Linked DNA regions of Lytechinus pictus. The protein of the gene in region 1 purifies or fractionates together with the protein of each later gene. This does not show direct contact. Links are inferred from orthologs where the notes say so. Each region holds a gene or a part of one and is shown in the gene's direction. Other genes may lie near its edges.

What was found. Proteins that work in one complex are often made in the same cells at the same time.
Region 2: the proteins of small ribosomal subunit protein uS12 (region 1) and pre-rRNA-processing protein TSR1 homolog fractionate together in Homo sapiens (co-fractionation; 3 studies listed by BioGRID and IntAct, with this or other methods). This does not show direct contact. The link is inferred for Lytechinus pictus from reciprocal best matches to the Homo sapiens genes RPS23 and TSR1.

The regions. Positions count from the first base shown.
Region 1 is NC_087247.1:9,442,244-9,449,185, forward strand, and holds the start of small ribosomal subunit protein uS12, read left to right. Parts: upstream 1-3,925; 5' UTR 3,926-3,983; coding exon 3,984-3,987; intron 3,988-6,942. UniProt on the Homo sapiens protein: Component of the ribosome, a large ribonucleoprotein complex responsible for the synthesis of proteins in the cell.
Region 2 is NC_087247.1:46,017,618-46,025,320, reverse strand, and holds the start of pre-rRNA-processing protein TSR1 homolog, read left to right. Parts: upstream 1-4,678; 5' UTR 4,679-4,811; coding exon 4,812-4,914; intron 4,915-7,703. Other genes in the region: nuclear transcription factor Y subunit beta-like, read left to right, coding at 42-109, 1,142-1,162. UniProt on the Homo sapiens protein: Required during maturation of the 40S ribosomal subunit in the nucleolus.

The DNA.
Region 1 (6,942 bases):
ATTGAACAAGATATGTAAATCACCCTAGATCCGCCTATGGGGACAAGGGGCGGGAAAATTTGGCAAGCAAAAAAAATGGTTATCATCGTCAAAGTAAGTTCATCTCGTCCCAAAATACATGTGTTATTTCGATTTATAATGATGTATTTCTTACCATCATAAAAGACCAAAAATAGTAGGGGGGACATTTGATATTGTGTCCCCCCTACTATTTTGAGTAGGGGGGACACGTCCCCCCTGTCCCCCCTGGGATTTCCGCCCATGCCGGGGGGGGGGGGCACTTACATTGACGAGTGGATACCATGCGCGACCAAAAAAACACGTAAAAAGGATGTCCTTTTCACGATAGGGCACGTTACGTACGTAACGTGATAAGGGTGTCAAAAACACAAAAATAATGAAAAAAGGGTGTCTATTTCGCCAGGAAAATTACGTGTTTAGGGTCGAATTTGCGGGAATGATAAAACAAAATTAAAATGTTTTATAAAGGATGTCCATTTTGCCCCAACACTTCGTGTTTAGAGTCCGATTTGCGCGAGGTGTAGAAGCAGGGGCGGAAATCTCTCCCAAAAGGTAGGGGGGACACAGGGGCGGATCCAGCCTTCGCCTATAGGGGGGGGGGGGCGGAAATTTGTTTCAGCCACATTTTCCCGATCGGCAGCTCGAAGATGATTTGTGTTTGTTTCTTTGAAGGGGTAGTCCTCATTAGTCACTTCTTAGCTTTATTTTCATAATTTCTTAATTTATAAATTCTTAGCCGGGTAATATAGGAGCGCCTTGAGCACCTAACAAGGTGGATATGTGCGCAATATAAATACCCTATATTATTATTATTATTATTATATATAATATCATAATCCTTATTAATATGATGCGAGCGCGAAACGCGAGCTAATTTTTAGGAAATGTTATGTATTTTTTCCTAAAATTTGAACATTCTGGGCAATGTTTGTTATCCTGAAAAGATGTGTATGCAACTTAATAATTACTACAAACGCAAAGCGCGAGCAGAAATGAACTGATGGAAAAGATACCTGTTAAAGACTGCGTGCAGTTAGCATTTAACAATCAAATAATGCGAGCGCGTTATTTTTTTTGGTGACATTTTCACCTAAAGAATGGAAATTCTAAGCACTTTTTGTACTCAAGCAGAATAGGTATATAAGTAGACAATTGATGCGAGCGCGAAGCGCGAGCGGAAAATTTCGAGATTTAGTCCTATAATATTTACTGAACGAGACACTCTATTCATGTTTTGTAAATCATGAAAAGGATGAGTATTAATAATGCGAGCGCAAAGCGCGAGCAGAAAATTTTTATATACGTTTTGAACTGGTACCTGTTGAAAAGATACCTGTTAAGGACTGCTTGCACTTAGCCATGAAGGTGTTACATATTTCAACAATCAAAAAATGCGAGCGCGAAGCGCGAGCTGAAAATTTTTGAAAATTTGTAAAGAAAGAATTGAAAATTTTAATCAATTTTTGTAATCGTGAACAGGATAGCTATATAATCATGATAATTCAACAATTGATGCGAGCGCGAAGCGCGAGCAGAAAAAAAAATCGAGATTTAGACCTAAAAATGGGCCACTCTGTTCATGTTTTGTAAACAGCCATATCGAGGGTGATATCGAGGCTGATCGAGGGCTTTTTACCGTGTTTAAATAAAATAAATCAATCAAAATCAATGTTTTGTAAATCATAAAAAGGATGAGTAATAGGGGGTCTTCCTACCCCGGGCTTCCTACATTAATAATGCGAGCACAAAGCGCGAGCAGAAAATTTTTGATATTGTGATCTGAAACTGGATAATGATTTAAATAGAGAACAAGTTGAGTATTTGAATAAACATGCGCGCGCGTGTTTCATATTTAGACCTAGAATCTAGGCATTCTAAATACATCTTTGATCATGAAACTTTAATATTCCGATCTGAAAAAAGAGTCAATTACAGCTTTATATTTCAAGCACTTTGTAGGAAAATTGTAAGGTGGATATGGATCGCACTTTAAAAAAAAGAGCTAAAATTTTCATTATTATTACTTCATGTACTTTGAGTTTTGACATAGGACCGGGACATCCTTACGACATGTCAGGGTCGTGTGGTCCAGTGGTTAGAGCATTGGACTCATAATCGCAAGGTTGTGAGTTTGAATCCCAACTCTGTCATAGTCTCCACTTTGATAAAAAGGCCCAAGAGTGGATATCTGTACGTCAGCCACTATGACTGATTAACCTAGACGTAAAATGTTTCCAAGGTAATTGGTTATATACCAGCTTGGCGTTTACCAGCAAAAAATGCTGTCCTGCCGAGTTCCTACGGGAGTTTACCACAAACAGAAACAGAAACATGTCATGAAACTGATGACTATCTTCCTATTCCTCTTGCTAAGCGCGAGATAAAACAAAAGGGACAATTTAATTATTAAATTAATATATTTATTAATGCCTAATGAGGGCTAACTTTTTTTATAAACTGTCATGAAAAGGGGATTTTAAGTAGTTTGTTGTATTATCAATATTGAAACATACATAACTCGCCAATCAAAATGCCAGCGTGCAGCGCTAGCTGATACGTCTTGACAATCAGACCTGAAAAGGGATATCTTGAAAACTTTATGGAATACACGAAAATAATAGGTACCTGATAAATCAAAATTTGCGAGCAAGCAGCAAATGTTGATAAAATTATTCAGACCATAAAAGTGACATTTTTACAGACACTTTTTAAAATCAATTTGTAAATCACACAAAATAATGAAAGTTCGATTTCCGAGGTGAAACATGTTCTGTATATTGACTTCCAAACTTGATATTTGAGCTCCATATTGAACAAGATTAATTGTAAATCACCTAACAGGCAATGCGAGCGCGAAGCGCGAGCGAAAATTTTATATAGTGCCACGAAAGATTCTTTTTTTTTTCCAAGTCTTCCCCTCATCTTATTTTATGCACGCGTCGTCCTTTTATTCTTTTCTCCTCTCTTTTCCCTTTTTCCTTCTTTCTTTCCCTTTTTTTCTTTTTTTTGCTCCGCCAATAGGGGGGGGGGGGCCTTGGCCCCCCTGGATCCGCCTATGGGGACAACGGGCGGGAAAATTTGACAAGGAAAAAAAAGGTTATCATCCCAAAAGTACGGCGGTCATCTCGTCCCAACTCGTCCCAAAATACATGTTTTATTTCGATTTAGAATGATATAGTTCTTACCATCATAAAAGACAAAAAAAAGTAGGGGGACATTTGATATTGTGTCCCCCCTACTATTTTGAGTAGGGGGGACACGTCCCCCCTGTCCCCCCTGGGATTTCCGCCCATGTGTAGAAGGTGGGGTCGTACTAAACCAAATAAGGTAAAGCCGACGACCGAAGGACCCGTAACAATAAAACATTCCTGTACTTGTTTAGGGGTTCATTTCAGGGAATATTTGCCAAGAGTGTCGTCTTGTTTCCAATACTTGTTAAGGGTAGGGTTTCACACGCCAATACTTGTTAAGGGGTGCATTTTCAGAATATGGAAATTACGTGTTTAGGGTGCTTTTCGAGACCCCATGGTCGCGCATGGTATCCATTCGTGAATGGAAGTGGCCCCCCCGGGATATAGCTATGTCAATTTGGCAGGACTTACAGGCCTAGATATATAGGCTGGAAAATATTTCCTGACTTTTGGTAGGCCCTACATAATCCTAAAATGCACCATGCACCTCTGCCCCTTTGCCAGGGGCGGGCCGCGGAGTTTTGAAGGGGGGGGGGGGTGACAATGCAAAAAAAAAAAAAAATCAGATGGTAATTCTTATGTTTTTATACACGGTTTGGAAAAAAAATGTGTGGGGCGGAGGGACTGAAGGCCCTTAGGCCCCTGTCTGCATCTAAAAATCAAATTTATAATATCCATGCAAACAATGTCCAAAGCATTAATTTTCGCGCGCCCTCAACGATAGACAATTGACCATTTTCGGCCTTTTTACGTGCATGAATCTCACTCGAAATGGGTTAGTTATCCCACGTGCCCTTAAATCACAATATTTAACGCATTTTATCATAAGCATATACATTATATTAGATTAATCCTGTACCTAAGATATTTAGTTTATTGAAAATTCTCAAAATTCATTGTCATATGTTGCTGGACACTAGAGATTTTGACGAGCTAGTTGCTCAAATATACCGAAGATGTCGCGTCTGAATTCGCATGACTCTTCTTGTGTAGTAAATACCGTATACGGCCACGGTACCGTATAGGGTACCGGGTTCTGTACGGTACCGTAGCTTTGGCTTTGCGTATTTACATACATGAGTACCGTATGCTATCTGGAATTTTGCAGGAAGCGACAGTGCGCCGCTTCACTCTACAAAGTGCACATCACTCTCCAATTCATTTACAGTTACCAGGTCTAGTAAGACTGTAGACTACAAAATGTAGATTTTATGCCATATCAGTTTTGTGGAGGATTTTAATAGAAAAATGTTTCATTTGTCGTTTGAATAATTTGACAATGATTTGAATAATTTGACAATGAAAATTAAGCCAAAAAAGGCCTTGCCAAGGATTTAATTTGATCGTATGGTACTTATCCGTTATCGTATTACCAAACACTTCATGAATTCAATCATATCGAACACAATATTCGCATAAAATTCATCAAACTTTTACGTTTTACCATAAAGATCTAGGTCTAGACTAGAGGTCTAGACTTACACAAATAAATGTGTAAAAAGGTTTCGCCAAGATTTTTTGTAAAAATCTTGGCGATTTTTTTTGTCAACGTCCCCCTACGATATCGCTCGGCTCCCAATCACACCCCTCCTACTAGTCCTACTCCTAGTCAAAGAAGTGAAATATTTTATTCACTTGAAAATAGTATCGTATTTACCGAGTGTGTGTTTTCTGTGAGAAAAGTTGAGAAAACAGCAAAATCACTGATGAGCTATTTTTATAATATTTTATTATTTTGAGGATATAAAGACTTTGAAAATGTATGGCTAAAGAAAACTTAAAAGTTAGACTAGAGCCAGACGTGGGAAGGGGTGATTGTTGCAATTAAGAATGGATTATTTCAGACAGCATGGGTACGAAATTATTACAGGAGACGGAGGACTCGATCGATTGTGGTGGGGGCAGGGGTCGATCAACCCATGAAATTATTGGGGGCAAACATCTCTTTGTCCCCAATAATTTTGAAATAATAAATTATGCAATGCAAAATTTAAAAAGCATGAAAGAAAAGCACTTTATGAAACATTAAACCTGACATGGAAATATTATCAAACATACAAAATTTTATTTTTTTCTGTGCGCTCCTTATTCAAAATTCTTTATTATAATTTGGTGCACAGAACTATCGCCCCCCTCAAAAAAAAAAAAAAAAAAAAAATTTTACCCTTGCCTCCCCCTCATCCGAGAGATGGATAACCTACTGAGCATTACAAGCTATTGAAAGTTGAAAATTCTAATCATTGGAAAGTACTATATCAAGGCTCCACATTAACTTTTTTTGGTGGTGGCCCATTCGGGCCACCAAAACCATCAAATAATTTTTTTTGGTGGCCCAATATTAAAGTTTGGTGGCCCGAAAAATATAAAGAAAAACATTAAAAATGAATAAAACAATTAATTCTGCAGCCACTACCACTAAGTTCCTTTCACTTTATACATCTTGTATGTAAACCTTGTTTGCTGTTATTTTACTTTGCTAATTGGTAATTGTCTCTATCGTTGTAAAAATGAAATGATTGAAAGTGAATAAATGAATTGTATTGTTCGCAGGTTGTGTGGACTTTTTTTAAAATCTCTGTATAGAGATAATGGTAAAGTAAATAAATAGTGCATAGCAAACTCAGATAGATGTACAAAACAATGGTTTTTCCTTCCTTCCTCTTTGAATCCTAAAACCTAGATTATATGCATGCCCCAAATCCAGTTTATTTCTGTTTTCTCTTTTGCAGCATATTATAGAAGGAGAAAATCACAGAAAAATATGCTGCAAAATTAGAACAATGCATAAAAGGGAGAAACAAACGAAAATAATTTTCAAAAAGTATATAACAAAAAGAAAACAAAAATAATAAAAGAAATTAGTGAAATAAAACAAAAGAAAGAAAACGAAGAAAGAAAAAACGAAGAACAGGGAAAAAAAGAAAGAACAGGGAAAAAAAGAAAAAAAGAAAAGAATAAAATTAGAGAGAAAAAAGAAAAGAAAATGAAAGAAAAATTAATAAAACAAAGTTAATATAAAAATGGGGAAAAGGGGAAAATTAAGAAGCCATTACATATATTTTTGATAGCTGTGGCAACAGTCTATTCTGACTGGAATATAATTAAAAGCCAAGTATATAATTTTCACTTACCTTTTGGGAATGGCACATTTCTATTTTTATATCCTTTAGTTTGTATTATTTTATTTTCAGTAGAAACATATTTTTTAATCAGGCATATTCAATGGGAAGGGGTATAAATGGTTTAACCACTGTCAAAAAAAAATGAAAGAAAAAAAAAAAACGGCAAAAACTATATCTGGAAAAAAAGTGTGAGAAAAGTCCTTCCCTATATTTGCCAAAATGTTGGAAAAAAAATCACATTTCATATCAATGAAATGCCTTCCCAAAGTATTTACTTTCTCAAGAGTGGTTTAAGAAGTCATTTATAAACAAGAAAGAAAGAAACTGTCTGTTTGTTTAAGGCTAGAAAATACACAGCTTCGAAAGAAACCAAGTATCAACATACATACAAATGCACACGTGGGACTGTGATGTACTTGCCTATGTGTTTTTATGTGTATTAATTCATGTGGAAATCGGTCTTTTTGAGTCAAAAGAGAGGTCATAATTCCTCTTCTTAATACTTGCAAATAATCAGGGTACACCAGATTTTCGTAATATAGACTGTAGAATTGCATTTCATTGGTGTAAAAGGTGACTTTGACTTAGATTTTCAAAGTTCTGTGGAA
Region 2 (7,703 bases), about 37 Mb from region 1:
TGTACTAAGGATCCCATGCTTACTTAATTCTTCTGTTTCAGCAACTGAATTGATGGTTGGAGACCAGGCTGGAACACCAGCCTACCAGCAATATCCTTCTCAAGTACAAGTAAGTACTCTTTGTAAGGACCCCTGTTAAGTTGAATCGTTTTTAAGTTAATTGCTAAATATGCAACTCATATGCTGTTATAAAATTTAAGCATCAAAACATTTTGTGTAGATTATTGAATAATTTTTGAAAGGATATTTCAACTTGCCACCCCATAAAAAGAGCTATCTCATTCTGGCAGTGATGTCAATTCACCAGTTGTTAGCTAAATAAAGGGAATGAAGCTTTGCTAGAACGGACTAGCTATTCGTAGTCTCATTGAAAAGGTGCAATGTCAGACATGCTGTAGCATCACCAGGGAAAGAAAGGCAATGGACAGGTATTGTATGAAAGCATTTAATTCTATTTTAAGCGTGTGCTGAACTATGGAAAGTGACATACCGGTACTATTGTCTATTGTAAATTATTAGCGATGGTGACTTGGATTAGCAGTTGATGGCATGGTCAAGATGAGTGCTGAAGCTCTTTTGAAGAGGCGGAGCTTAGGAAGTTTAAAGAATATTCTTTCAAAATGTATGCCAATGGTAAATTAGATAACCCTTTTCACAGAGATCACCCAGGCAAGAAACTAGTTCTCCCTGATGGAATTGTTCTTGTCTGGCTCTTCTGCAATTGTGTCCAAAAAATAATAAATAAATAAATAAATCAGTTCCTGTTTTTTTTTATGTCACAGAAGAAACAAAAAGTATGTGTCATTTGCCTTTGCATTTCAGCAGGATGTTACCTTGTTGCACCCAAAATGTTTCATTCGCATTGATTCTAGGATGAGATAGTGCCTGAAATTTACACTCTCGTTATCACATCCTTTGACCATGCTCAAGTTACTCTTAGTTATTTCTAATCAATTTAAAAGGGATATTATTATAATAGTAAGCAGTTCCATGAGAGAATCCTTATTGTCCCTTATTGTTTATTCCAAGTGAGAGATTTATTAACGTTTTGCAATTTACATGCAAAAGAAGGTCAGTTCAATTATCATGTAAATATTTCATTTTCTTAAGGAAATCTGCATGTGTGTATATTCTTTTCCAGATACCGATGACCTTTACGTGATCTTTGTTTGGTGGTGTGCTGCCAATTTGATCATCATCACAAGTCAGACCAACACCTTGAATGCAGTTAGCTGTCAGATCTAGATTCCTGAAGGGCATCTTTATGCACAGGAGTCATACCCAGATTTGTTTTATTGCAAACATGGATTAGCATGCACAGGAGAGAACTCTTCAGGAGTTGCATGATTAGGTTTTTAGTTATGAGAATTATACAACTTTGATGCGCACATGAAATGAAAGCACTTGTGAGAGATGTCTTGTATAAAAGTAACCCTCCTTTTGGCTGTTTATGTTAACTTGGTTTCCCCCTCTGCACCCCCCAGCTCAAAGCTGTTTTGATCTGTATGCAATAAAAATGTGTTTTTACACTTTCCATAGTAGGTTTTCTGTGGATTTTGATTTAATTTCTCACTAACAAATTATTTCCCTTTTGAGTTACAACTCCTTTTATTGTTTCAACAATGATACATAACTCAGATTTATTGTAAATTTTTGGCTTTATGTCATATTTATCTCATCATTTATTTATGGGTTATTCATCCTATTTTTTATATCTCTTTGTTAAAATCAAATTTATATTTTACATGAGAATATGAAATTTGAATATAAATTTCAGTATGAATATGAGGGAATACCCTGCAGAACAGAATCATGCTTAAGTTACACAATTTCAAATGCTTTGATTAAATCACGATGAATGAATTAATTTCCCATTTCTAACATAAGGGGAATTGACTCTACTTAAATACTTAAAAGTAGAGATTGATTGATTGATTTGGTTAACTCAGTTTTCAAGGCCTTTACACCTGAATTGTAACCTTCAGCCATCAAGAGGTAATTGCTGGAGGCATTGTATTTTTAGATCACCTTTTGTCCATTCATTTTAGAATAATTGAATAAGTTTGATGGATCAATTTTAAATTCAAGTGACGTGTTAATTTGGCAGCGAGGATGATTTAACAAGATTTTAGGCTCGTGAGATCAAAGGTAAACAATAGCAGGTCATTATACACCTAAAAATATCTTGTTCTCACAGTAACAGAAAAATCATTAGATGGATAAACTTCACATATATAGATTTGAGTGCGAAGATTGGTCAAAAGTTCAGTCATGGGTCATAGACCCCTCCCCCTCCAAAAAAAGTTTGAAAAGCTTTGCCTGGAAAAGCCCAGTCATTATATGCTATGTAAGGTCCCATTCGCATAAAATTTAAAACTCTTGTTTGATGCAATGAACCAAAGAATAACACCTGGCTGTTCAGTCTCTGAAGTACTGGGTGGTGTTTAAGATGTTCGACTCTATGAAGGACTGGAACATATTCTCAGGTGATTTAGTCAGCTGCATAGGGATAAATCGTTTGACACATTGTAGGATCACCAGTTGTGCATAAAGTCATGTGTAAGTTACAAACAGTTATATGAAATCGCTCCCTGGATGTGCTGATTTTAGAAGAGAATGTAATGTGACCAAGAGTGGAAAATCATGACCTATATATATAATCAGGGTTCCCACAGTCATGGAAAATCCTGGAAATTTTTTTGTTCATTGAAAGTCAGGGAAAAGTCAGGGAATTTGGAAAATTTGTGAAAAGTCATGGAATCGCATTTACCTCTTGGCTATGGCAGCTTTCCAGTTTGTCGTTATTCGTAACTCTCATACTCTGCTATTATAATTGGTATTCATGATTTCCATTTTTCCCAGTTTTGTGACATCCCAAATTCTACATAACTCCCAGAACGTCACAGGAAGTCATGGAAAGCAGCAATTTAGTCATGGTAAAGTCATGGAATTGGTGTTTTCAAATTTTTGTGGGAACCCTGATAATGATTATATTATCAAAGGAGATGGGACAACTCTTTCAAAGTTAACATTTTCTTATGAATTTTCATTGTAATCCACACTCTGTATGAAGATGAAAATAGGGTGAGAAAAAAAATGGACCAACATTTCACAAAGATTGTAATTAGTAGTTGGAATTACAATGCATATTTATGATACTGAAATTGTGGCATTTGATTGGTGAAGAGTAAGTTTGTGATAAATTTGGTATGCATCACTGAAGATAACAAAAGAAACAATGCCCTGATGGGAAGACCTGTTGTTGATCATTTATTTTGTTTATCCTGTAAAGTGTAAAATTTTCTTGGCATTCCTGTTGTTTGTAATGTTTTGCTGCTTACACATGAAATGAAATTTTAATTAGAAAATAATGATGTATATATTGTAAATGGTTGTTCTCAAGTGTATTTGTATGTGTTTCACAACTTGGACATGGTTAATTTTTAAGGACCAGGGGCCTGTCTTACTAAGAGTTGCGATTGATCTGATCAATCGCAACTATGGAAAGCCAGAAAAGTCAACATCTAAAGTACATTTTCAAAATATTTTCTAGAAATGACATATGTTCATACATTCACTGTTTTTTCTTGACAATTCAGTATGCTTCTCTCTGTTTTCAAAGGACAATGAGCCAATTTCGTGAAAATAAAATATGAAATTAATGGATTTCCATATACTTGAGATTGATCGGATCAATCGTAACTCTTTGTAAGACAGGGCCATCGTGGGTTTGTGTATAGTTGTGTGGGAGAGAGAAGGGGAACGAGAACTTAGCGGAATGCTATATGGGTCTAGGAAGATTGGTAATTGTGTGAGAGGGTGTGTGCAGAAGGGGAAAATACTGCCAGGGGGACTGGAAAGCGGGGAGCAGATGCAGTTGCCCCTCTCTCCAAAATCCCCCACAATAATGATATTTATTTATCATATAGTCAAACCTGTTGAATGAGACAAGAAAAGCAGTCTTTGTGGAAAGACTCCCATAATGTGTAAAGTTCTTCAAGGAAAACCAAATTTGTGGTCTTAAAAATAGCCAGGTGATCCTTCTATATAGGCAGTTGCTGAAGCAGGTTTGACTGTGCGTTATCATAACTTAATAAAAAAATCATTCAACATATTACCTTTCATTGTAAAGCATAGAATATTCTCTTTCCTCTGGTGTAACTTCTTATTCACGCATTTAGTGAAAGCAATTTGAAAAAGAAAGGATACCAAAAGGCTTTTGGTAGGTGGTATATGAATTTCAAAAAAGAAAATCACAAGTCTCAAAAGTTAAATATCTGGTTTTTAATAAAGGACAAGTCCACCCCAACAAAATTTGATTTGAATAAAAAGAGAAAAATCCAACAAGCATAACGCTGAAAATGTCATTGAAATCGGATGTAAAATAAGAAAGTTATGACATTTTTAAAATATGGACATCCTGGTCGGTATGCAAATGAGGGAACTGATGACATCACTCGCTCACTATTTCTGTTTTATTTTATGAAATATCCTAATTTTCTCCCCATTGTCATTTGAAACAAATTTTTATTTCTCCCTGAACATGTGGAATTACCATTGTTTTTTTACATTTTATGGTTCAGTCAAGTTTGTCCTTGATGTCAAATCTGTATAAAAATTGAAATCTTGTATAATTCTTTGCCACTGATCTATAGAGCTAGAGGGGAGATAGATGTTCATTGCACGCCGCTGATCTGAGCGAAAACTCGCTACAGTTAAACTGCACTGAGTCTTGAACATAGAATAAGTAAAAAATTAAATATACTCGCTAGCGCTAGCGCGCGCGGTACGGGTATTGGTACACGTGCAAAATGGCGAAAACATCGCACAGACCCGGTCCTTTAAAACAGCAAAATAAAGGCCACAAAACTGGACGACATCGTAGTAAAGGCAAAATCGACGTTGAATTAAAGGGTAAGTTACTTTTATAACTTTCTTTGATGTGTCGCTCTTCCAGGAAAATCCTTTTACTCGGTGATTTGATATTTCCGGTTGAAGACTTCATCGTTGTTCCCTTACTAGCCCTAGTCCCACACGTACAGATTAATGTGGTGCCGGTACCGATTAGTCGAAGATTTCTAATAGTAATACCTAGGCCCTAATTATTTTAAGAACGTAACTTTACTAATGTAACAAATTTTTATATCAATTCCCGATCCGATTTTTCCATTTTTCTTAAATTTGTTTCGATCTCTGATTTTTTATGTCTGCATCTGGATAAAATGAAAAAGATCGGTTTTAAATTTAAGTTAACAATAACAACATGGAGTCATGTCATGACTCAGTCATTGTTAACTTTTAGTTTTAGTTTTATGGCTTATGCAAAAACATTAATTATTACAGAAATACAGTGGCCCAGTGGGTGATTTCAAGTACGGCGCGGTGTTGAAATCTGGGGGGCGTTTCATGAAAGGACTTGTCGGACGTTTTATCCGACAAGTCTCATTTTATCCGACAGTTACCGTCCATAGGAACAGTGCCTCTCACTCTCAGTCTCAGCTAGCCAGGCGGCTTCTAGAGAGTAAAAATCATTTACTAACGTAGCGTAAGGTCACTCTCATACGAAGCCAGGGCTTCCGTCATATACTTTTGCGTGTACCACCAAAAAACCTGAAACTTTCGCCCCCGAAATTTCTACTTTCTTTCTAAAAGATCTAGCCCTAAATCATGTTGTACATGGGATAAAACTTCATTTCCGACATTTCTATGCTCTCGTTGTTATTTTTTAACAAGAATTCATCAAAAAAATGAGAGAAATATTGTGTAAAGACGGAAGAGACTCGCCCGATGTTTACGCCGCCATCTTGTTTTCTATTGTTCTTCCCCAACGTTACCCGACGCACGCGTCTGTAACGTTGGCGAAGAACAAATCAATAGAAAACAAGATGGCGGCGTAAACATCGGGCGAGTCTCTTCCGTCTTTACACAATATTTCTCTCATTTTTTTGATGAATTCTTGTTAAAAAATAACAACGAGAGCGTAGAAATGTCAGAAATGAAGTTTTATCCCATGTACATGATTTAGCAGTAGAGGCGCACGGCCAATATGGGAGACTCTCTCCAATAGAATAGGGGAGACAATCTCCCACATTGGAGACTTGCTTTGCAAAAGGACAAAAGAAACAACACCAACAAAAGCATGATTTTTTCCACCCAAAATTTTGTCTCACTGAGGTCAGAAGCCCATTTGTTTTGTGTGTGATTGACAACAAAAATCCTTATCAAAACAAAAGTAGACAGTGAATATTTAAAGTAGACGGTGAAAAGAGGTAATTTTTCATGAGGAATCTGCTTATCACATTTTTATTTGCCGCCAAGGTAATCCTTTTGCAGCAAATGTAAACAAAGGAAATTGGACTCCAAAACTGGAGACTGTCTCTGAAATTGGATACCCAAATTCTTTACAAAAGTCTCTGATATTGGAGATAATCTCTCACATTGGAGACAGTCTCCAATATTGGCCGTGCGCCTCTACTGTTTAGGGCTAGATCTTTTAGAAAGAAAGTAGAAATCTCGGGGGTGAAAGTTTCAGGTTTTGGCTTCCATTGTGTGGGTCTATGGGATAGAAGGCCTGGCTTCATGAGAGTGACCTTACGTTAGTAAATGATTTTTACTCTCTAGAAGCCGCCTGGCTACTCTCAGCCAATCAAAATCATGGAAAGATGTCAGAATGATGTCAGATCTGACAACTTGTCGGATAAAAATATTGATGAAACGCTCCCCTGGTGTTGGTGTTGTGACAATACCAGCCACAACACTGTACTTGAAATCAGGCTGGTGTTGGGATTGACCTCGGAATATATGACATATTTCCGGCAGTTCGTGTTGAAGGATGGTGCGTGAAGTTGAGATGATTTAGCAGCGCAGAGGCGTGACGTCATGTGCTATCGACAACGCAATCAGTATCGTTCCTCTGAACCCAGCTCGGTGTTGGAGCTCGGTTCAGCGGCCTTTTTACGCTCTCAACACCAAAACCAACACTGAACACCGTACTTGAAATCACCCATTAACATCATTTTTTTTCTCATATAAAAAAAAGTATAAAAAAATGAAAAAGCATGTGTAGGTATGTTGCAAAAAAATAAATTTGAGAAATCGGGTGTTTGCTTCATAGCATCATTTAGAGCTCATCAAGACCTTTCATTTAATACCTCATTTCAATAGCCCCAGTAACAAGAAAGTTAAAACTTTGGTAGTTTTTTAAGTTCGCACAAATCGCCTCTTCAATTCTTATGTATTCCTTTGTTTTTGAAAAACAAAAGTTGTGACCTTAATTGGGACCAAGGTGCACTAATAATAGAAAACAACAATGCGCATACATTGGTATATGGAAGTGCCCAACAACAGTCAACAAAAATCACAGACATCGCCGAAACGGACATAAAAAACACACTTAGCGTCAGTAGATTTCTTTCAAATTTCACCACAATGTACGGTAGTTGAAATGTTGTTCTATTGGAATGAATACCTTTTAGAGTGGGATGATACCTGTAAATATGAATAGCAAGAAGTTGAAAGCAAGACCAAAGTTCCATTAGCACACAGAGTTGCAAGATCACCGAGTGAGGTTTTTTTTTTCAAGTCTGGACAGCTGCCATAAATATTCAACTACGTAAAATCAATGATGTCATTGGGAATAACCTTTCCTTGCACATGTAAACACCCCGGGGGGGGGGGGGGGCACTTCCATTGACGAGTGGATA